2 linked regions of the Styela clava genome follow. The protein of the gene in region 2 interacts with the protein of the main gene of each other region in a pairwise test. Links are inferred from orthologs where the notes say so. Each region holds a gene or a part of one and is shown on either strand. Other genes may lie near its edges. The genes, in order: uncharacterized protein LOC120347561 and cleavage stimulation factor subunit 3-like.

Region 1 (11,820 bases), on a different chromosome or scaffold from region 2:
GAGGAGAAGGAAGTCGATAAGACGGGAAACCACGGCTTCTAGTAGTTATCAGTCCATGTTCGGTATGGGGTTAGTTATTGGACACGTAGTGGGCATAACGATCGTTTCAATATTATGTTGTTCTTGTTCTTGTTGTTATTTGACACAGAATAAACCGCTTTTCTCTTTGAATACTGGACCAATTGCTTTGACATTTTCAGTGGTTGAAGATAAAATTTTTCACCAGAAGGCTATTACTTTTATTCATTTTAAATATTTCTGTTAGCTCTGTGAGATTCGTTTTTGTTTGCTATGACGTCATTAAACGTTCTGCGGATATCGGACGCCATTTTGTGTCCTACTGTACTGCTTCGCTTGGTGTGAATATATTTGTAGATTGTGATCTGACGGTACGGTACACCGTACTGTACTGCGAACAGACGTGTCCCTATATTTGGGCGTAGCTCTCTTGTTTGTTTCAGATTCATGGACTTGTCAAGCGTTCATTTTTCATGTGCTATATAATGAAAATTAGTTATAGATTGATGAGCAAATCAGATCACATACCTTAAACCAACAATGGCCAAAAATGGTGAGTTCACTATTTACATCTAAAATGTTTTTTTGAATACCGAATATCAAATACATGCCAACAGGGATATTTGCACAAATCATTTCAAATCCGGAATTGTAGATTTCCTATTTTTGCAGCTGCGGTCCCCAACCTTTCGTGCCACCCTCCTCCCCCCCCTCCATTTATGACTCCAGTGGTATTTATAGCGTTATTTGATTGGTAGATTCCGAGTCCAATTATGTTCAAACTCCAATTCATGCTCCAAGTGAAAACACTGTGTGAAATAACCTATCAAACAATGAAACAAGGCAGAAAGGGGAGTTTTCTAGCAAGGGTAAAATTAGTTATGCACCTGGCATGGTGGCCGCAGCAACTGCTCTGTGCCCTGCAGTTGGGAACCACTGTTTTACAGTGTCAGTAATTGAGCGAATGTTATACGCTTTAAATAATGAACCCACGAATGAGAATATTTTGACTTATCGCTGAAATCAATAAATTACTATACTGAAATAAGGAAATGTATTTGGAAATTGAATTCGCTTTTAACATCTCTGATGGCTGCTTGGTCGTATAACTCCCTCTTGTCTATTCCAAACTAATTTGCTGTATAGTACTATTGTTTGTTATTATGATGACTGTTATTTTATTTCGATTGACAAAAAAATAAAATCTCTCTCTCTTTGACTGCAACACATCCAATTCAACAAAACAAGAACAAAATTTGATCTGAAATACCCATTTATGCAACATTCTTATTTCAAAATTTTGCATATGCTGAATTCTTTGAAATTCTAATGCTAATTCAGTCAATTCACCAAAAGTAGTGATGAATCCCTCGACCACCATTTATAAATGATTGTTAAACACAAGAAAAAAATAACAATTATCAATATTGAATTAACCAACTTTTTTCCGCACAGAAAAAGGTGCATTCAAGTCACATTTAATAACAAAAAAAACATCAAAGCACCATATATATGATTGATTACTCTGCCTTCTTGATAACAAAAACGTCCAATCTCTTTAAAAAAAAATCGAATGCTATTTTCTAATTTCAATAATGATCAAAAGTGGAACCTTTTGCCACACAAAAAATACAGTCGAGTCAAATCAAAAGATTTTCAAACATAACAATACATCCAACAAAGCACTATATAGATTGATTACTGTACGTTTTACTGTTTGAAAATGCTGTTCTCTCTCACCTTCAAAAAACAAAAGTTTATTCGAGTTCGACTAGAAAAATTGAAAGTCCTATTTTTCCCCACATAAAAAGGTTCAGTTAAACTGAATTGAATTCAAATTTCCCAAACAGCACTTAATCAAACAAAGCACCATATACTGCATGATTGCCACCAGGTAATCTCATGTTGATAATAAATAAAGCACCACCGGTGCTAGCAAAACAGCCGAAACATCAGCAAATTACCGTATATCGTTTTGCTAACACCGGTTGTGCTTTATTTATTATCAACAAAAGCACCATATACGATCGATTGTGTACGCTTTTCGATTAAACCTAAGATAACAACTCTCTTTTCTAAAGTTTCAGAAAAGATCGAAAACCCAAACCAAAATACAGAGAAGCTTAAACCAGGGCTTCAAGTTGAAGTTTGGTATGTCGCTATCGCTATAGTCAAAGCCAGAGTCTAGTTTTCCGATTCTCGGGATTCATAGTTGAAATTCTAATTTCAGTCTTCCAAAATCAGAATTTTTAAAAAAAAATATTAAAGGACATCAAATTTACTAAGCATTCTTATTAACGCCTTTAAAGAAGGTTGGCATACGCAAAATTTTTTCTTTTTATCAAAACTTGATTTTCTCAGAGTTTTGTCTTGGAGTCAAAATAAAAGTAAAATTTTTTAAACACAAAGCCAAATTTTTTTAAACCAGATGGTTAATTTTCCGCAAATCCACCTGGCTTCACTAAAGTCTCCCAAAAAGATTAATTTCCATTGAAGTCTACAGAGCAAATTCAATGCTCATTGTCGCCCTCCAGTGATCTGTTCCTTGAGAATCATGATACTCTTTCTTTGTTCTTCTGGCAACATAGCTATTTGTTCTGGAGTGAGTTGCAATACTTGCATTATCAACGCTGCCTTTTCTTGGTCAGGGTTATTAGGGTCAGGGGCACCTGCAGGTGCAGGCCCTGATGCGGCGGGTGGAGGGGCTGCCCCACTTGTGGGACCAGGTTGTGGCCCCAGTCCCCTTCGAGGGTCGCCACCACCCCGTTCTAACGATGACCCACGATCACGACTTGGACCCGGTACATTGTTACGTTCCAATGATCCTCCTCTTTGATCAAGCAATCGGCCACCTCGGTCGTGAAATGGTGGTCCATCTCTATCTATAGGTCCCCGATCTGGTGGTCTTCTGTCCATTGGGGGACCCCTGTCCATTGGTGGTCCACGATCCATGGGCAGCCCACCCATACCTGGTATAGCATCCATGCCCCTATCTGGGAATTCTCTTCCAAACGGGCCACGCCCAAACGGCTCAGGGCTACGCCTCCCTCTATCTCCTCTTGGACCCATTGGGGGGCCTCTTCGATCAATAGGATGGTCACGAGGACCTATACCCATTGGCTCACCACGCCCTCTATCTATAGGAATATCCATGGGCATTCGGTCATCTGGATGTCCGCGGCGTGGTAGCATTCGAGGTGGTGGGGACCCGTCTCGTCGCCTTGGTATATCCATGGGTTCGTCTATCATTCTGCGAGGAGGTTCACGATTTCCATACGGACTTCTGCCAGGTGGGTCACCATTCGATCGACCATCGACCGGTCGGTCTAATGGTTCCCCTGCAGGAATAAGATTAGGAACTGGGTTTTGTCGATGAAGCATTTTCATTGCAATTTCTGGGTCCACAATACGCATAACCACTTGTGCTTGTAGCAAGGCATAAGCAAGTTGTGGATTTTGTAAAAGCATATTTCTAGCCTCAACTGGGTTATTTTGAATACATTGTTTCATCTGTTTCATAAGTTCAAACATTTGTTCAGGCGGTAAACTGGCAACTGCTTTGCTAATCGCTTCTGGTGCATCTCGGGATGGGACAGGTTCACCATATGGGCTTTCTCTCGGTGGGCCTATGGGGCCCATTTGACCTAAATCTTCCATAATTCGATTTTTCTCACTTGTAGCATGATCAACTCTCAGCGAACGGCCATGCAGTTCGCGATTATTTAAATTTCGCATAGCGCTCATCGCTGTTTCAGTGTCTTGATATTCAGCAAATCCATAACCTTTTGGTTTCCCAGATTCTCGGTCAAAAACGAGACGAAAACTGACAACCGGACCAACTTCTGAAAATATATCTCTTAGACTCTCTTCAGTTGCTTCATAAGGAATATTTCCCACAAAAACTGATCTTGAAGATCTTTCCAAATCAATCAAATCCCGGTCTCGATTCATCCTCACGCTTTTGCAAATGTATTTAAAAAGGTAATTTTAGGCTGGGACATAAAGAAATTCAAATTTAATTGAACTTAAAAACAAACTCTCAATAGTGACGTTTTAAGAACTTGCTATAATAACTTATATATTAAATGTAAAACAAACAAAATAGTGCATCTATGAAGAAATTATAGATAGAAAGATAGATAAAGATTTGGCTTGGAGAAGTTCAGTATAGTTTTAGCTCAGTTCATGTACAAAAAGTTTTAATTTAGGTAGTTTTCAGCAATTAAAATTCAAGAGAATATAATCCAAGGTTCCTGTAAGTCCCATGCATTAAATATAGGAAGCGAATGTTGTAAAAGAGGATTATCTCAAGGAGAAAATATTATCTTAATAGAACACCAAGAGTAAAACCTTATGCAATCTGCAAAATTATATAAACTATTATATGAGATAAACATAGGGAAAAAGTCCAAAACAAAATACTGATGAGGATCATAAACAGGGCACTCTATCAATCTCACCGTAATACAAAGCTTGAAAATTTTAAAGAAATCATAAAGGCTGTCATTAGTGAGAGTCTACTTCATTAACCAAAAAATAGAAAAACACATTAAATTGTAAATAAAAGTTGTAAGAGTTGATATTGGAATCGATTCAATTATTGAGTGGGGTACGGGGGGGAATTCATAAATTAAATTCAGGTACTTCAAAACATTTCTATAATATCGATGACTAAGTGTCTTTTACCAGCTAATTAAAATATACATTCACACATAACGAAGGCAAAGGAGTAAAAGTAAATATATATTAAACGTAAAAAAAAATTAGAAAAACCATACATAGGCAAAAAGTCTATATTTGATACGACTCAAAAGCATTGACGAAGTGTGTATCAGTTTAGCTCATATTAAACAGCATGCTTAATCTGTGAGGCGCTAGCGCTCCGCAAAAATGCACGCGAGCGAATTCAATTTTGCACGCGAAAATTTGCAATTGCTCACCAATGTAAATCGGTTCAAATGGTTTTTATATCAATAATCCAGTAATACAAAGATGCCAAAAAATTATAACTCCACAATTGTCGACTAATACTAGCTTGCAAGATTTGGCCTGATCGAAAAATGCTAAGCAAAAAGACCATATCGTGTTGAATGATAGGAATCCCATGAGAATAGTTATGAGCGAAAAGATCGCCTCCTCACCGACGCTGGCCAGATACGGCTTTGATTCAGCATATTTTTTATACAATAATTCTACGTAAAAACACTTCCAAAATTATTGACAATATAAGTCCTTTTTGCTCTGATTCAAACTGTAGAAATAATGTTTGGGGGTCAAAGGTCAAACGTCCATTTTTCCTCTGATTTAACGTATATTTTATCCGATACTGGTAATTTTACGCGGCTGTATTGAGAGGTATCTAATGTCAAAGTAAGTTGCAGCGAGCGTAGTTGTTTTGCACGACGTGAGCTATAATTGCATGCCAGGAATTCTTATTTGCACGCGGGAATTTCTGATTGCACGCCTGATTTCTCGTTCAAAAAGGCCCTGAAATACAGACTGGGCCAAGGATACGTCAGCCTTGAAAAGATGGTAATTCAGTGATAACACGTCTATGAACTGTAAATGCTGAGTGACAATCGCCACTCCTGTTATTCGACTAATGCCAAAACGATCTCGATAATTTATGCTACTCTTTCACATTACGTATTCTGCTATTTTCAGATTTCATGTGCCTGCTCGCTGCAATATGCACCAAAACTACAAACTGACAAATAATAAGTACTGAAGTATAAGTTTATTTTGAATGCTGACGTCATAATTTTATAAACGATACCGGTACGATAACTAACTAAATATGAAAAATATGCAAACTTACGCGAACCTAATTCCAATCTTAATTTTCCGATTCTTCTGCCAAGGACGAAACCGCGAAATGCCTCGTTTGGCTGAAACAATCGTAAGATGGCGCTCCCGTCTCAAAAGAAAACTATTATAATGGTTGCCACATTTTTTTATTTCGAAACACAAATTTATTTTGAAAACTATGTAAGATGCACGAATATATCTCACCCTAGTGTGCGTTTATTGAAATGAATACATGACACGCTATTATCAATTGAATTAAAAATTCTGGATAGTTCATTCATATAAAACAAATAATCGGATAACTAGTATTTTGGACGTTTCCACGACCCTTGACTTCTGAAAAACTCTCCCTACAATTTATCATTGCAAAGTTTACACAGCTTTTTCGAGATTGTTTGTAAGAGAGTAATTTACAAACATGCTCACTTCAACAAACACTCACTCACATCAATTTCATTAGAAGATTTAACCTCGTCCCGCTTGCAGATACTGATATACAATTTTAGGCTAGTCTATGGTCGCGTTTGTGTTGATTAAGATGGAGTAGGATTTACATATTTATCCCGGGGGAGATTAAAGCCGAGGCTTAATAATATGGCGAACCACGTTCTGTCGCCCGGTTACCAGCCCATGTCGAGTATGGGTTGGTTAGCCAGTTATTTGTTTTCGTAGGCATGTACCTAATGATCGAAGAAGCCGTAACCGACCAGGGGTTACGTGAACCACTCTACGGCGGCGAGAAGTCCAGCAGCTTTGTGGGCGGACACGTACATTGTACGCTTTTTAACTTTTTTGAGTTATGCCCGTATGTATGTATGTTTATTTTTCTCAAAAATATAACAGTATCTGCATAATAATTAAACAGTAAAACAGAGACGGGAATACATGTTCAAGACCTTACTAGCCTAAGACACAGATGTGCGACATGCACCCCTACTAACCCTTATAACAGCCGTTTAGGACTGCTGCGGTATAATAGGACAACATACAGGTATCTCTGCACTTTGTTTTGTCTGTTTATTTTTTGTATTTTTTATGTCAGAGAACCAAAATAAATGATTGATTGATTGATTGATTGAATCCTATTGCATATAACTAAATCTGCATTGGATTCGAACAGATAAACCCACGCGGAGTAATCAGAGGTGCGATGGCGAGCGTATTCCTAACGCTTAGCACGATGCGCCAAACAGCCGAGTAACAAATATTTTATGAAAGCACAACTGGAATATGATAAATAAAACGCAAAACCTCCAAAACGGGACAATGTTTACAAACATGCTCTATTTTTGCTCTAATGCAGCTTCCCAAACTGTGTTCTGTGTTCCGCGTCTTCCGAGCGTTCCGTGGAAAAGAAATCAAGAATACGTCTAAATTGGTCTCTATGGCGATCTTAGAATCGTGAAATTGTAGCCCAACTGACCGTTTAATACCGAGTCACCGTCGGCTTAAAGATGACTAACTAAAGTAGGGTAGTAGCATTTTCGTTAACCGTCGGTCTAGCTTTTTGATTGTTAAGTTCATTACCAAATTTATAGTAATCCTTTGGTTTTGCTATAGGCAAACAAGCAGGTCTAAAGAATGAAGGCAAACTAGATTCCGCAGATAATTGAACTGCAGCTCGCGAAATTGCAGCAAGCACTTCTATCTCCATTGAACGTAACATTAGAGGCAAACACTGCTTGACTGAAAGTAAACGGTATAGAAAGGTAAAATGATTTTATTGATTCATATACACACCAATAAAATTAAGAAACAATGAAACAGTTATAAAAATACGATATGTAAAATATTTAATCATATTTTAGGTATGTTTAGTACAAATCTGTTAGTTTTCGCGGCGCATTTGTCAACTCGCCACGGCAAACCCATTAGGAACCGCAACACTGCACCGTTTTTTTTTATAAATTTTATTCTTTCATTTTTTGTTGTTCCGCAAGGCGAGATAAAGAAGTGTAAGTGTCCGAAAATGTTTGGGAAACACTGCCTAATAGAATCAAATAACATGAGACTCGAACTTGCTTCGTAGCTTCACGAAGTCACGGAACCGATTACCCGGATGGGCGACCTATGTTCGACCTCAAATCGATTGAGCAAGTGTTCGCTTTACATTCTGAATGTTAATTTATCATGCTAATCAAAATAGATATGAAATTCTTATCTCATCCTATGTTGTTGTAAGTGTATTTAGATTAAATGATGTCAGAGGTCCATGCAAATGTTCCTTTGTTTGACATTTTGTGAACCATTGTATTGTCATAAATTGTGAGTTTGTATATTGTGAAAATACCCGTGACAACGTGAATTCATTTAGGCACCGGTTAAAAAAAAACAAGGTATAAAAATGTTTTAAATTATAAATTTTAATAAATTATTAATTTTATGCTTGCAACTATTTAGAAAGTCTAAGATGAATAAAGATGTGGCCCGCGGTTTCACCTAGTCATTTGTATCTAACTCTCCTGTATTAAAGGTCGCACATCTCTGGCCTACCTAATTAATCACACCCTTAGTAGCGACAGGACATGGGATTTAGATGGATATGTAACCAGCGGTGCCAGTACATTCAAGTTAACGCTTTTACCGCGCAAACTATCTCACAGTTGCATTTGTGAAGAATAAAACTTATTAGTGTTTTTGAAATAATCCTATATTTTCATCGAGTATGCGTTGCAGGTAGGGCTGAGCGTTTTGAAACAATGTTTCGAAACGTTTCGAAACACTGATATGTCGAAACGGCGGCGTTTCGACCTTCGAAACGGATATTATGACGTCATAGCAAATGCAACCTGTAATTAGTGTCCAATTCGAATTTAATATCCGAATTTATTCGAATATCATGACTCTCAAATATCGTTTTTAGTGTTTATAAGAATATTAAATATCGCACAAACGTCCAAGCGCCGCCGTCCACGTTTTGATCGACAATTTTTACAATTACAATTTCATGTTTTATCGTATACGAAGACACTCTTTGCGAGGTGCAATAAATTACTGCCGACATAAAAGGATTTAAGTCAGCGTCGACTTGAAGTACTTATAACACGTCGAGGAAGTTTTTAATTGAAAATATTTTACAATTATTATGATATATTTCAACATAGTCGAGATAGTTTGGGGAACCGCGCAATAAATCTAAAATCAAATCAAATTTAGCTCAACGATGTCGATGTCACGATGACGATAAACAGTCAGAGTCATAACGAAAATTAGCCGTGTCAAAAATCCGAGTTAATATTGATTTTACTGTATAATTCAAACATTCCACCTAGTTGTTCTTTTTCCTGTGCTTGCCAAGATGCACCACAATTCATAAATACTGTAATGTTTATCAAGTCCATTTCCTTAGAGCAAAAAAATAACTAATTTCAATCAATAAAAGACCAATTCCTATGTTCCTGGAGTTTAGAATGTATTCGGAATTCGGAAGATTCAAAAATATGTTTTTCCAGAATGTATTTGAAATAGTCAGGTATTCGGTTATGGCTTTCCCTTGTATAATTACCACACTGGATCACAAGGATTTGTGGCATCGGATAAAGTAGAAAATGACCCCACCCATTACATTAGATGAGGGCAGGGCCGCATTGAGACGTTGAGAGGCCCCATGCTATGCTGCTTGCGAGCCCTATCTCTAACAATGACGTAATTCGTATTATCCTGGTGCCATTTGGCCGCTGCTTTGTCATTGAGCAGAAACATTCGTGGAATTATCATTATCGTTTTATCCTCTCGAATTAGCATCCAGTGCTATCGTTTTGTGGATTTAATTGTGGAAAATAGATGTCATTATACATTAAATTCCATGGGTAATAATGGTATCATATTTCACTGTTTATGACAAACGTGTGTTTCGTTTCGTTTCGTTTCGATTTCGTTTCGAAGGCAAAATTTCGTTTCGATTTCGAAACACCAGTGTTTCGAAAATGCTCAGCCCTAGTTGCAGGTTTAGTCCCAAAATATCAAGGATTGAGCATCTATTACTTTTAAATTTTCTTGTGGCGCTTCAACAGCTAGTCCATCGCTGAACGTAACTTGTTGCTTGTTTTAATCGGTTTCGAGTTCAAACTTTTGCTATGAAAACTACTAGCCGTATGGTTGACTTTTATTCGAACTTTAGTCAAAAATGGAATAACATAATATGTTATTATTCTGTTGCACAGTGTGTGCTTTAATGTATCACGATAATCTTCGTGTTGTAGTAAATACAGTCCTTCATTTGACGTATTTTGTAAACCTAAGGCATTTTATTTGTTATAAATCGCGAGCTTGTTTATGGTAAATAAATCGGATACAATTAGATTCCTCTAGGCGTTTCGAATGCATTAAATATTGCCGCAATGATAGCCAAGATAGGACGCCTGGTTTCATATTAATATTTACTACCAAGACTGTTAACAGTTACATTTAGGTGGAAAAGGGTTGAAAAATAATAAGATATAAGACGTTGTACTATAAATTGTCCGTCAACAGCTTTTGGAAACTGGCAAGGACGTTTGAGTAGCGTTAGCATAAAAGTTTTCATTTTTATTCCGGGGAAAAATGAAGTCGATAAGACGGCTCAATCATATGGCGAACCACGCCTCTCGTCTGGCCACCAGTCTAAGTCGGTTAATGGAAATACTTTGCCAGGTATTTGTTTCGAGTGCATGGACTTGATGGTCTCGCAACCTGTCGCACTGAAAGTGCGAATGCACAGTCTAAATCAGAAAACGTTGCACGTGAGGTGGAAGTTAAAATTCTATGCGTGGGAGACCGACTGATGAGCATTTCCACTATGTAGGGTAGGGCAGATGAGGTAGGTGATTAGCACGTTAGTCAGGTATCCCTGTCCGCATGACGCAGAAAATTTTTGGAAACGATCGGGCCAGAGGAAAGGGGTCAAAACGGGGTTTTAGTGGCCCGAGGCTGTTCATTGGTCAATCAGCTGTCAATCAAGTCACGCGAGAGTGATTTAGGGGTTTAGAGGCCGTTTAGCTAAGTTTCCGGGGCCGGAAAGCGTTTGCCCGACTAATAGGAATTTTTCCAAGTCCTTTTGGCGGTGGGGGCTGTGCCCCCTCGCCCTCTGTGGTGAGAGAACTCGTGCAAAGCCACGCCCACTTAGGTTCTATTGTTTTTAGGCAATTCTGAGGCATGTGAATGGGATTTTGGGCCAAGATTTGCCTAACTCTCAAAGAGTATAAATATTTGAAATTTTCTTTACTGAAAAATCGGTGTTTCCCCCTCCCAATAGCCCTCCAGTGGCGTAAGAAGGTTGCGCACTTAAAAATGGAGCTATTGAGAAATGAAATAGATAGGTATGGTTGGAAAAATTAGTTTAACATTTTTTTGAAGAAATTTTTGTTCTCTTACTCCCCAGTCACGCTTTAGTGATTTTGGCTTATTGCAGGACTCTGAAAGGACATATTGAGAAAGTGAAAGCATGGGCATATTTGGAAAAATTATTTGAATCCATTTTAAAAGGAATTTTTTTCCTCCAACTCTTCAGTCATGCTCCAGTGATTTTACGTTATATCTCGAGAATGGTAATAGGTAGAGAGGCCATATCTGGGTCATACAAGTTAATTGAGGTCTAATTTATGTCAAAAAAAATTCGTCACGGTTGAGTGATCACGGGCCCTAAAATTAATAAAACTTGATTTCCATTGAGGGTGATCGGTTTCTAACCTGGTATTTAAAATATTTAATGGACTAAAAAGGTCGGGGGCACCGCGCCGGACGAATGCCGCCATTCGTCCGGCGCAACGACCAGGGTCTTCCAACAAAATCAGAACAAACACCTACTTTTTACCTTACTAAACACATTTCTTTACATTTCCCCTCGCGGGTAGCGAAGCGACCGACCCCTGGATGGTGGAGTAAGCCGCAGCGGGACTCACGCAGAGTAACAAGGAGTGCGTGTTCATGATGCCTAGTACGGTGAGCCAACTGTCGGGAGTTGAGGGAAGATGTTTGCCAGTGCACTAAAGTTTGAATCTACGTGTGACAACACAA
Region 2 (11,884 bases):
TATAGTCACAACAATCTAGATCAGCAACAGTTCTATTTCACTGATATTGTACAATGTAGCTCATACTGACCGACCACTGTCTGTAAATTATGGGTGGTGAATTTCTATATTTTGTTTTTAATAGAAGTTGATTTCTGTATTCTGGCGAATTTGCAAGTTCTTGTTGAAGTATATTTCATTTATTTGCCTATGTTTATGCTTTGTTACAATGAAATTAATCGCATAACTAAATTTTAGGCTTGGTTTTCTGTTAAAATCCAGGATGTCTGATTATAAGGTTCGCACTGCCACTACTTCTTCATTCATTACCGAATGTTATACAGGGCATCTAACAAATTTTGTTACCGGTATCACATACTTCCCTCGTCAGGTCAGCCAAGTGAATATAACCGCTGCCCGTAGGTTTCAGTCACTCTACACAACTTTAAGTAAGGTAGGCGAACAAAATTAGTTACCTTCGTATTCGTGCACACACTTCTGGAGCGGCCTATTTTCAATAGGGTACCTTGGGAATGAAAGTTCGAACCTGCGAAACCACGCGGGGTAATCAGAGGTGCGCTTGTGAGCTTATTTCTAACGCTTAGCACGAAGCAATACACCGTCATCGCCGATTAGAATTCAAGAGTAAGCAATGGTGCGAATGACCAAAGCGTAAAAGCTTTCAGGAATCGAAATAAAAAAGATAGGTCATCTACGTAACATGAAACCCGCGTCGACGATGGGCGCTGAGAGTTTTAAAGTCGCTTGTCATTCCATTCAGAAGTACGCTGCGCTGGTTCAAAGGTAAATATACCCAGGTGGTTATCGTCAACGAAGCCGCTTGCTTCCTCTACCGCCGACCCCATGCATAATAATAATATAATTTTATTTCGATCTTTCGTCTACAACACAAATAAAAAGAACACAGACAAGGTCAACTGAAAGATCGGGAAAGTGGGCAAAACCTATATAAAGGTTTATAACGAACGCTGTAACCAGCGATTATGCCCATTCACACACGTGAAACACACCAAGACAATCATACTAGAATAAATTAAAGAACAGAGTACATAATCACGAGAAAATAATACATAATCACGAGAAAATAGAATCTAACATTGACTTGTAAGCGGCCAGCTATCATTTCTCGGGACAGATAGGGAAATTATATAATTTGTACACTTGATGCTAGGCGAACTAACTTCGTTCACACGTATTCCAGGTCTAGATTAACCCTTAAACGGAATAACCACGAGCTTAGGGCACTAAGAGAAAAGGGGAGACCACAGAAATTTCCACAGTCAACTTTTCAATGGCGCCTCAGTGTTTAACGAAATAATTCGAGTTAGTCTGACGAGTCAGCCCCAGAGGCGTAGCTTAGGGGGGGCAATGGGGTACATATGCCCCCGGGCGCCAAGGTACAGGGGCGCCAAAATGGGACTTGCAAAAATGTCACAACGAGGGTAAAATACCAGTCACATAAAATAAATCTCACAAGCAAGATTGCACCGGCGGCAGTCTAGTCTTAGTACATGGCCAACTGCACACTTGGTCAGACCACTTACGCCGACGTCATCAGGCACATAGCTCGCGCACGGAAACAAAGCAAAATCTGATTTGGTAACGTTAGGTAATAAAATGCACTGGGTTAAATACGTGGTTCTGTATCGATAAGTTCTTGCCTGCGCACTACGATGTAAGTTGATATAAGTTCTGTGCTGGAGACGAAAAGCAACGGAATTTGGTTTAATGATGTTAAACAGCGAAGTGCTGATAATACATGTTTTGAGTAGTACGTGGTTTTGTATTTCGTGGTAAGCTGCTAAACGTTTCCAGGTAGCCCACGACGCAGACCTTACTTTTGGTGGCAAGGGATTGTTCAGTTCCCGCCTGTCAACAGCATTCATAAAAAGTGTAGTTTATACTTAGCCCTGGGCCTAATATTTATAACAGTGGTTCTTAAACTTTTTCGAGCGCGACCCAAATCTGAGTTTTATGAATACTCGCGACCCAATCCTAAATAACGCAAAATGTGTTTTTAATGTTAGTACAGTTTGACTCAAATACAGACAACTATTTATTAGAAACAGTCCATTGACTCAGTGAGATTGATAAAACTGAAATTTCCTTTTCATTATATCTTCAATACACAGCTCTATTTTACTTAACGCAATACGCAAGTTGTCACGGGTATCGAGGCGATTGCGAGCTTAGTTTTGATAACCGTCAGTGCCAAATATCCTCGCTCGCACAAGTGCCTTGTTGCGAATTGTAGCAGAAAAGGCGTCCGCTGTCCGTCGCAAACACGACATCCTAGCTGGCCTTCGGTATCTCTCGCAATATACAACTTTTTACTCATCAAATGTGCACACACTGCTTCGCTTGCGGTAAATGGTGCCTCGAGATGAAGTCACATTTTCTCTAGATATTGAATAATCTAATGTCGAGAAGCGAGCTTTTTCATTGCGTCGTCTATTACAATTTACATTACCAAAAAGACACCCATTTTTGGTTATTTTAATCGACTAAGACGACATTCCACGCGGTCAACACAACGACAAGCGACGTACATGGTTACCGATACCATAAAAATAATACACGTGACTGGCAAATCAGAATTGTGATGTAACAATGAGCTCAAGACAGTTCTTTCCGTGAATGACATTTTATATTTCATTATTTTTAAATACCAGAGTTTAGAAGCTAAATTGAAACATTGGGAAAGCTGAAAATTCTTCCTTCTCCTCTTAGATTGCCCTTGCATTGATGACCTTGTCGCATTTTTAAACCTTCCGCGACCCATGTTTGGGTCGCGACCCATACTTTAAGAACCACTGATTTATAATGACCACAACGGCATCGCAACAACTCAGTTTGATGCATTGGTGTCTACCAGCCATTGGCTCTTCTTGGTTTTATTGTGTCTTTTGGAGACGACGTTTTCTCGAATATGCGAATTTCTCTACAAATTTTGTTAACAATACCAGTTTCAATTGCAAGCTGTGAACGGTCTTTCAACAAATTTAAACCTATTTTGTCGTAATCGCGTGCATCAATAGGACAGGATAGTCTCAGTGATGTTCTAAGTCAGGGGTCGGCAAACTTTTGTCGTTCGTGGGCCAAAATTAAAGGTTGCAAGTCATTAGTGGCCCGCATATATTTTTAGAAAGTTAAAAAACGAGGGAATGGCCAGTAAATCACATTTTTTCACACAGATTTCAGTTAAATTTCAAGCAGCGCACAAAAACTGATCATTTTCTGCGCCATTAAAGCATTTGCACTCAGCATCAACTTTTTTACGTTCTGTTGCCATTTGTCTATCTATAATCAATTTAAACGAGTGATTGTGAATTATATACTTGTTAGATTATAATATAACTTAGTGTCTCAAAACAAATTCTGTTACGTAAAAAATATAATCGTCAATACAGTTGTTTTGTTAATATAATTTAGTGAAGCGTCGCGGGCCGGATTATATTGTTCCGTGGACCGGATCTGGCCCGGTTGCCGACCCCTGTTCTAAGTGTTGAAAGAAAAACATTGAAAAAAAAAACAGATTTTGATGACGTGATTAACCAGCTTGCGACAGTGAAATCAAGAAAAATAAATTTATTGTAGACTATGTAAATCATCCTTGACAATAACTGAGTGGGACATTATGGACATACTTTGTATAGCTTTGCTTCTTCGTTAAGAGAGAGATTTATTTCCACAAACAATGAAAAAACAGTATTAAATAATATCAATAATTTTTATAGAGTTAGACTATAATGAAAACAATGAAAAATAGTATAAAACAATATCGATGACTTTTATAGAAGTAGTCCAATTTACACATTGTTTTGTGTTAGCCAGTATGCAAGACCGTTGAAGGTCATCAAGGCTCCTGACCAATTTAACACTGTTATTGATTAAGAAGTCGGAATTAATTGTTACAATATAAATATAAAAAAGACGGAGAATGAGTCGGCAGATATTTTAGTTCCACGATTCAACACTAAAAGCACATTGTGATAGAGTTTAGAGGACATGTGTAAAATATATATAATACCAGTGCTACATTGTGATCTAGTACATTACAGATCGCCATAACAGAGTCGGTCTCAGTATAAAATATAAATGAACAGAATAGCACAGACACATTTGCACCATGTTATATAAATATTACGGTAAGACAATTATTAAGTAAAATGTTCCATTAAAATTTGAATTGTTTTACATATACAATTAAATGTAATAGAAAATATGATTAAACGTGGAGGTCGGGGCGCCAATTTTATAGCTTGCCCCGGGCGCAATATATTCTGGCTACGCCTCTGATCAGCCCTCAATATTGTTCCGGTTAAAATAAATTTTGAGATTTTGCTTGTTTTTCTTTCTCAAGTATCATTCTTAAACCTCTATAAATGTTTGTAGGCATGAGAATTATTTCTAAATAATATTATGCAAATGAATCGAAAATGTATACTGAAGTCGTTCCACGTTTGAATAGCATTTCACCGTAACTTCTATAGGCCTTCTGTTAAAAAGCGTCAGTTACAAAGCAAGACTTACACGATTTGGCGCTGCTTTATTATGCTGATAATTCTGTAGGCGTATAATGTTGCGATGATATTGTAGCCAAGTATGAATTTATTATAAAGCACAACAAGCACAAGCTTACGGCACCAGGACAAAGAAAGCACAACAGAAATTTTCATAGTATAGTGCCCAACGACTAACGTACCGATAGTGCCTCGGTGTTTGATGAAAAGATTGCCCGGACGGTTCGGACCTGAATATTAGCCCAGTTGAAATAAATTTTGCTTTTTTTCCCCAGGTATCATTTTAGCCTCATAAATGTATGTACGTAAGTATGAGAACTATTTTCAAAAAAATCATGTAAATCAATCATAATTTGGCCTTTAATCAGTAATGAATACTGACACTTTCATTCAATTTCATATAACATGGAACACTAGTTATTTTCCTATTATTTTTTAAATATACTTATACCTTACATTATATCCCGCGATGTCACTCAACGACTGTATAGCAAAGTAACAAACCCATATGGCGAGTTGTCTCTTTCTCCCTCCGAGCTCGCGATACCGTATCTGTACTCAAACAGATATGAGTGTCTCCAATGGCTGAGAATGAAGTGAATTTATGAAGTTTTAGACTGTCCACCCACTGCCGACCTGTCAGTTTAGACTAGATGAGCAAAGTCTGTACATACATTTTTTATTATCAAAATTGATCAAAGCAAGGTCTGAACTGATACAGCTAAAGTCGCGATACGGCCATACCAATGTCGTAACTGAAATATCGACCTCTTAAATACGATTTTTGGACTTATCAGAACCTTATCCTACACCTTGGGTGTCGCTATTTGATAAACAAAATTCGTTCCCGCGGTTTCCCTTCCCGGCTTTATCGATTACCTGTACAACTGTGTGTGTTTTTAGATTAAAATATTTTATTTCGCCATGCATGAAATATTGTAAACAAATAATAATGAATCGAAATGAATCAAGTCACAAAAATAACCCACAAAGTTTCGCGAGCAGTCGCGAAAGATCGTCCAATAATCGTGTCAGCGACACCCAGGTGCAGGTGGTTTATTTTGTAGTCTTAGATCGTACGTTACGGCAGTGAATACCAAAGTGGTTTATAGCACCTCAATGGTTTATAGTCCTGTAGTCACTTTGGCGAATACGGTACCGGCATTGTCCCGAGGGCCGGGACTTGGAGCTTGCAGAATAGGATTCACATATTTATCCCGGGGGGAGTTGAAAGGCGATAAGACGGCTCAATCACATGGCGAACCACAGCCGAATCCCGAGGTTAAAGCTTGCAGAATAGGATTTACATATTTATCCCGGAGGAGTGGAAAGTCGATATGACGGCTTAATCATATGGCGAACCACAGCCTTTCATCCTGTCACAGTGTTACCTGTTGACTACCAGTCCATGTTTGCAGGTCGGATTCTATAATCAGTTTTATTTATTTTGCTTTTATCAATGTCGACATTTTACCGTCTATTATGCTGATTATGGAGTCTAAATAAACTTATTTTCTGAAGCATGGACTTGATGGTGGAGGAAACTGTAATTACCGGTAACCCGCAATACTCTCGTCTCGCACACGGTATCTGGATATCAAAATATTGCTGTTTGCTGCAACAGTCAGTATTGTGTCATGCTTATTTTGATAATAATTCCAGAATTCAATGAGCGTCCTCCGTCATATCACTGAAATAATAATTTCTTTTGCTAAAAACACTCGTTCTTGGCAAAATCTCCCATCTTATAAGATATCCTGTACGTTTTGAACTTTGCATGTTAGTGTTATGCTGATTATGGAGTTCAAATATACTTATGATACGGTAAATTTTTTTCTTCAGTAAATCGTGCCGACCACACTGTCTCAAAAAGGAGGGGTTTGCATTCACTGTTATAATTGCTGTATTTTAATGTGGGGGACATTTATTGTAATATCGCAATCAAAGAACTGTACTGACTCTTAAACCAATAAATGAACAAGATTATGTCATAATTGAGATAAATTACTTCAGCTTTTCAGGATGAAATGCATTTGCTATCTTTTAAATTTTTGTCTTGGCTTACAGATAAGTATTAATCTATAAACTTAAAGAATATTTTTGTACAACATTATTTAATTTGATTGCTTTCTCCAGAAACTTAAGGTAACAATACTTACAAAAATCTCTATTAATGATTAAAAGCTGATCAATGCAAAATCTATACTTAATTTGTTGTTCAATAAAGGGTTCAAAACATTGAATATGGCAACAAAATCACAATCAGAAGAAGTGGTGAGATATAATGAAAATTTATTATAATGCAATTTCTACTTGGATATCCAGGATATCTTAGAATATTATGCACCTAAACCACAAATCAATTATGGATATCATGCCATAAAACATTTCTGTTTTTCCTAACGAAGTTACACTGCAATTAATAATAGTATTTTAGCAATGGTTTTGAATGTTTTTTTTTTTATCAGCTAATGTTCTTTATAGTGTAATACTGGTATTATGTGATATACTTTCTAAAGTCTTTTATCAGTTTAGTAGTGGGACAACCTGTTAACTTTGATGTTTATTACACATTAAATGTTGTTAAATGATCTATCATCAGACGACATACAGAATATTTCAAACAGTACTAAATATGTCTATGTAAATAGTGATTAGGAACGAATAAGAACTTTTCAGTATGTATAGAATTGTATTCATTGTTCTGTATTGCGTGGTGATAATTATATCATACTCACTATCATTAATAATGCCAAAAAAATTTATCTTTGTACCGCATAACTTGGTATATAAACATGAGGTCCATTTTTCTTCAATTACAGGAGTATGTTCCAGAAAGAATCAGGAAGATAGAAAAGAAATTGGAAACCAGTCCATATGATGTTGAGTCATGGAACTCACTGATTCGTGAAGCCCAGGTACAATCTATATTTTATTACTGAAATTGTGACATTTATCAGATTTTGCAATTTCATTCATTGTTCCAACATATTCTTTGGTACAAGTCTTTTACATTGGATTTTTCAGACAAACTCTATTAACAAAGCTAGAAGAACATACGAACGTCTCGTTTCACAGTTCCCAAGTGCTGGAAGATATTGGAAGATTTATATAGAACATGAGGTGTGGTTTGTAATATTAAAAATATATTTTTTCTGTATTTGTTTGCTTTGTCGTTCTGCAAAGGTGAGACAGATTTAAGCTTTGTTGAGTTCTTTTCAGTTTGAAGGTTCTGCTTAGAAAAGTGGATTGCCTAAAATATAATGTGTTACAAGATCCCACTTAGTTTTGAAAAATTATCTTATTGGAAGTGAATTGTGTCTGGCTGATACTGCTGAAATGCTAAGAAGTACAAACTTATAATCGAGATGGAGACTATGCTGTTCAAACACAAATTAATACTAATTGACATGAGACTTGATGCCGACCAAATATATTGTTGTGTGCAAGTTCCTAAACCCTCAGTTTCTGGTCAAGTCTGAGTCTGAAATTAAAACCAGGATACCATGTCGTGTCAATATTTACTTAGGCATCAACGCGCCTGGTTAAAGTTGCAAAAAGCTAGTGACACTTTAAAGTTTGAGACGAGTCTCTACATTTAGTTGCTTCAAATCTTCGAAAACGGATCAACATTGATCAATGAATCAATTCTGCTTGGCCAGTGGTATTTACATTAGATGTTAGCTAGTGGCCAGATGGCATTCGTGTAGTGAATAATATTTTAGGGAGTTTAGTGTATGATGGTGTTTAGCATGGCTGTTTCATATTCATCTAGTGGGTCTTTGGTTCAGTTTGATGAGACAGAAACATGCCAAGCCACAGATTCGTCGATCAATCGTAGTATGGTATGCAAAAGTCAGATGATGCCGTTAGACTTCTTTACCTCTGCCACAGCTTTACATTATGTAGAGCGAATATGTGATTCTACGACCACACCTTATCAACTTTGATGTGATAATGAAAAATAAGCTGTCAAATGCTTCTACATACATTATCAATGGCGTCTTGGAATTTGTTTGTTTCCTATCCCTTTCTTGTCTTTTGTGAGAAAAGATTTTCTTTGAGAAGTTGTATGGACTTGTTGTGTATTTTGTTGCTGGAAGTTACCCTAGTTTTGAAGGCATAACAAAGTTACTTGCGAGGTCATATTGTGTTCTGTTTTCAACTTGTGCTATTAAGCAAGATCAGAATTATGCTTTATGATATTTGGAATTGAATGCATTTTCTCATTTGCATTCTTTCTGTCATAGTTCTGTCTACAGATTTCTTCGGCCTTTGAAAAAGTAATTTTTCATGGGTGGAGTAATTGTTGGCTATTGTTTTTATTTCATTGGGTTTTTGATGGGCAGCTCAAATTGTCCATCCAGATCCAGTCTGACTAGTCTTTTTGCCATCCTCGTTATGGCTTGGTGATAGTGCTGTAATGTGGTGAATTTCTTCTTTATAGTTCTATCCTTCTTTTTATCAATACAATCTATACAGATGCTTTGATTCAACACTTCATAAGTTATTCCTAACAAAAAATGCTTCACATAAAGATCTTCATCGACTTCATGCATGTTATGTATCAATCCCATTCTGTTTCATTCCCTGCGCGCACTATTCCAGTGGTTAGAGCGTTGAACCTAACTTTGAATCTAAAGATCCTAAGATCATCTGCCATGCTCACCACCTCTTCCAGGATGTAATATATCCAGAGGGTATTGCAGCATATGGAAGATTCGGATTCTTTATGCATATCAATGCTTGTTTTGCTAATTATTAAGGGGTAAAAAACTCCACTATAAAAAGTTGCAGGCAGCATATTGGCGTTCAATCGCTGATATTGAGGAACTTCTATTTAAAAAGATAATATGCTTTCCTGATTGGTTCTTTATGTTTGAATTTGTATCTTCTTTAAAATGCTATCGTTTATGTAGAATTTCGTATCGAGGCAGCTTGGTTTGAAAATTTTTGAGTGCGAGTTACTGTTCAGGGGGAGTTATAGCAGATTTACACTAGTTATTATATACTTACTGTGCCAATAAAAAATATGCACAAAGTGAACATTTATGAACTTAGTTTTTTGCATGTTTTACTGTTTATATATATTTATCTTATGTAGGTTTTATTGATATTAAAAATGTACTTTTTATTACATTTGAATTCTATTATTTGGTTGATAGCGGAAATAACAGGTTCATATGTGACATATATCTGGCGCGTTTATTAATATATAAATATCTAACTATTATGGGATTTACAAAAGCTTGTCTTCTTAGAAGTAAGAGATGGGGGAAATAGGAAAAGTTGTGTTTTCTGGGATGCCAAATCGGGATGGACGTAAAGGGAAAGTTAATTGCCACCATTAAGTGATATGCTGTATGCCTCCACTGTTAGTACCATACGCATAGCCAAGAAGGGGCGATGTCCCACCGAAAAACATTTTTTGACGCAATTTTGCGGCATGAGACATAAATTCATACACATTTTCAAAACCATTTTGCTCTGTTCTTGAACGATATACTGAAAACCGGACATTTCCTGGATTGCTATCAATAATCCTTTCACCTAATGAACCAAACGAGATAGATGGAAATGCGCACTTTTATAACTTTGACAGCGAAGTATGTCTGTAGAGCAGACATGGGCAAAGTACAGCCCGCGGGCTAAATCCGGCCCGTTGGGTAATTCAATCTGGCCCGCCTGATTCTGCCACAGCCAAACTGAAGTCAAATTTTGACGTTTCAGCTAAAATAGCTCAAGCAATTTGTTGCGACTGCGGTTAAATTCAGTTCTGGCATGAGGCTGAAATGTAACTTTCTAAGTCACACTTACATGGCCCGCCAGTCTAAGTGGGCAAAAAAAACTTGCCCCCTCCCTCAAAATTTGGGCTGGCTACACCCTTTGTTAGTATCTTGCAGCATGTCTTTTGCACTAGTTTATTACGATGAAAGTTCTCTATGCGTAAAGTAAAAGTTGAATTCCACTATTGAGTGATATGCTTTGTCCTACTGATGGTACCTTTCTGCTTATGTCTTCTGCACTTGTTAGGTTTATTATGATGAAAAATCCTTTATTCATGCCCTCAAAGTTTAGTCGAGCTCATTAGTTACTTTCAAATAAATAAAATAGTTATCAACAAATTAACATCATATTCATGAAATGAAAAGTGTCAGTGGTCAGGTCCGCATTACGACTTTTAAATTTATTTATTCTTCAAATACGACTTTTAAATTGCCTTCCAGGCTTTATTGTCAAACAATTCACCACGACGAGTTAATACAATACTAGTGATATATATTAAGCCGCTCAAACAAGAGGGGGTAATGTTTGCGATTATGCATCTCGAGTTGGTTGGCGTAACTGAAGAAATACATTAGTATTCAAAATTTCTCACACTCGCTTGTAGGTGGACAGACCCTCAATACTGTGGGGGCTCAAGTCGATTCCCTGTATTTCTTGGTAAATTCGCCTATAAACACTTGTAAAATGCGCGTAATGTTTTTTTTTTCACGGCGGTGCATTTCTCTTCTACGTGTCACATCGCGTGATGCGAACACAATATAATTAGAAACGGACATATATCAATAAGCTGCCCATAACCTCGGTAATAGCCTACATATTGTAAGATTTCAAAGTATGCGGCCAAACTATTTCAATTTTTGCTTGACCAATTTTGAGGCAAGCTAGGGATGCCACTTTTGGATTGACAAATCGAATTGCATCTTTTTCGAATCAGGTTTGCGATTCGGAAAAAGAGAGCATATCACCGCAAAAACAAACATCGAACGGTTTGTGCATGGTTATCGGCGGCGGTAAATCTGCCGAATGCGTTTATGCGTCTGCATATAACGCCAAATTACGGGACGAAAATGAAAACGAAATGACTTTTTACTGATCTGCCGTCATTTATTTCAAGTTCAGCGCTACACATTTTTCGAGATGCGGTGTGGCGTAATTTCCCCCAAATTCCCAGTTTAGTATTCTACTGGATGGCCTGAATTTTAATGGATCGTATACCTGAAAATTGTGACAATTGGATGAAAATTTGCAACAGCACACCTGCGCTGCGACTATGGTGCGCCCTGACATGATTGGATAAAAAAACCAGCTACCGACTTCTAGAAAATATTTAATTTTGATTAAAATTTAATTTAAACTTCGATCAGTGTGAAATATTTCGCGATATTTAAAGAAAACTATTACTGAATAAGTTCATTGGCCTTTTAATTGACAATCATTTTATCTTAAAATATATATTTAATCTGTTTAATTTAATCGGAACGAGGAAAATAATATTTTGATAGAACATAAATATGTTTTTAATCCAGCTGTTACATCAAAAGAAATATAGTATTTTCTTAGCGCGATACAAGCGG

The links.
Region 1: the proteins of cleavage stimulation factor subunit 3-like (region 2) and uncharacterized protein LOC120347561 interact in a two-hybrid assay, tested with the Drosophila melanogaster proteins (2 studies listed by BioGRID). The link is inferred for Styela clava from reciprocal best matches to the Drosophila melanogaster genes su(f) and CstF64.

Annotation. Positions count from the first base shown.
Region 1 is NC_135250.1:3,970,415-3,982,234, forward strand, and holds uncharacterized protein LOC120347561, read right to left. Parts: upstream 4,349-11,820; 5' UTR 3,970-4,348; coding exon 2,536-3,969; 3' UTR 1,168-2,535; downstream 1-1,167.
Region 2 is NC_135255.1:8,580,359-8,592,242, reverse strand, and holds the start of cleavage stimulation factor subunit 3-like, read left to right. Parts: upstream 1-6,481; 5' UTR 6,482-6,767; coding exon 6,768-6,797; intron 6,798-7,345; coding exon 7,346-7,441; intron 7,442-7,550; coding exon 7,551-7,646; intron 7,647-11,884. UniProt on the Drosophila melanogaster protein: Essential protein, may play a role in mRNA production or stability.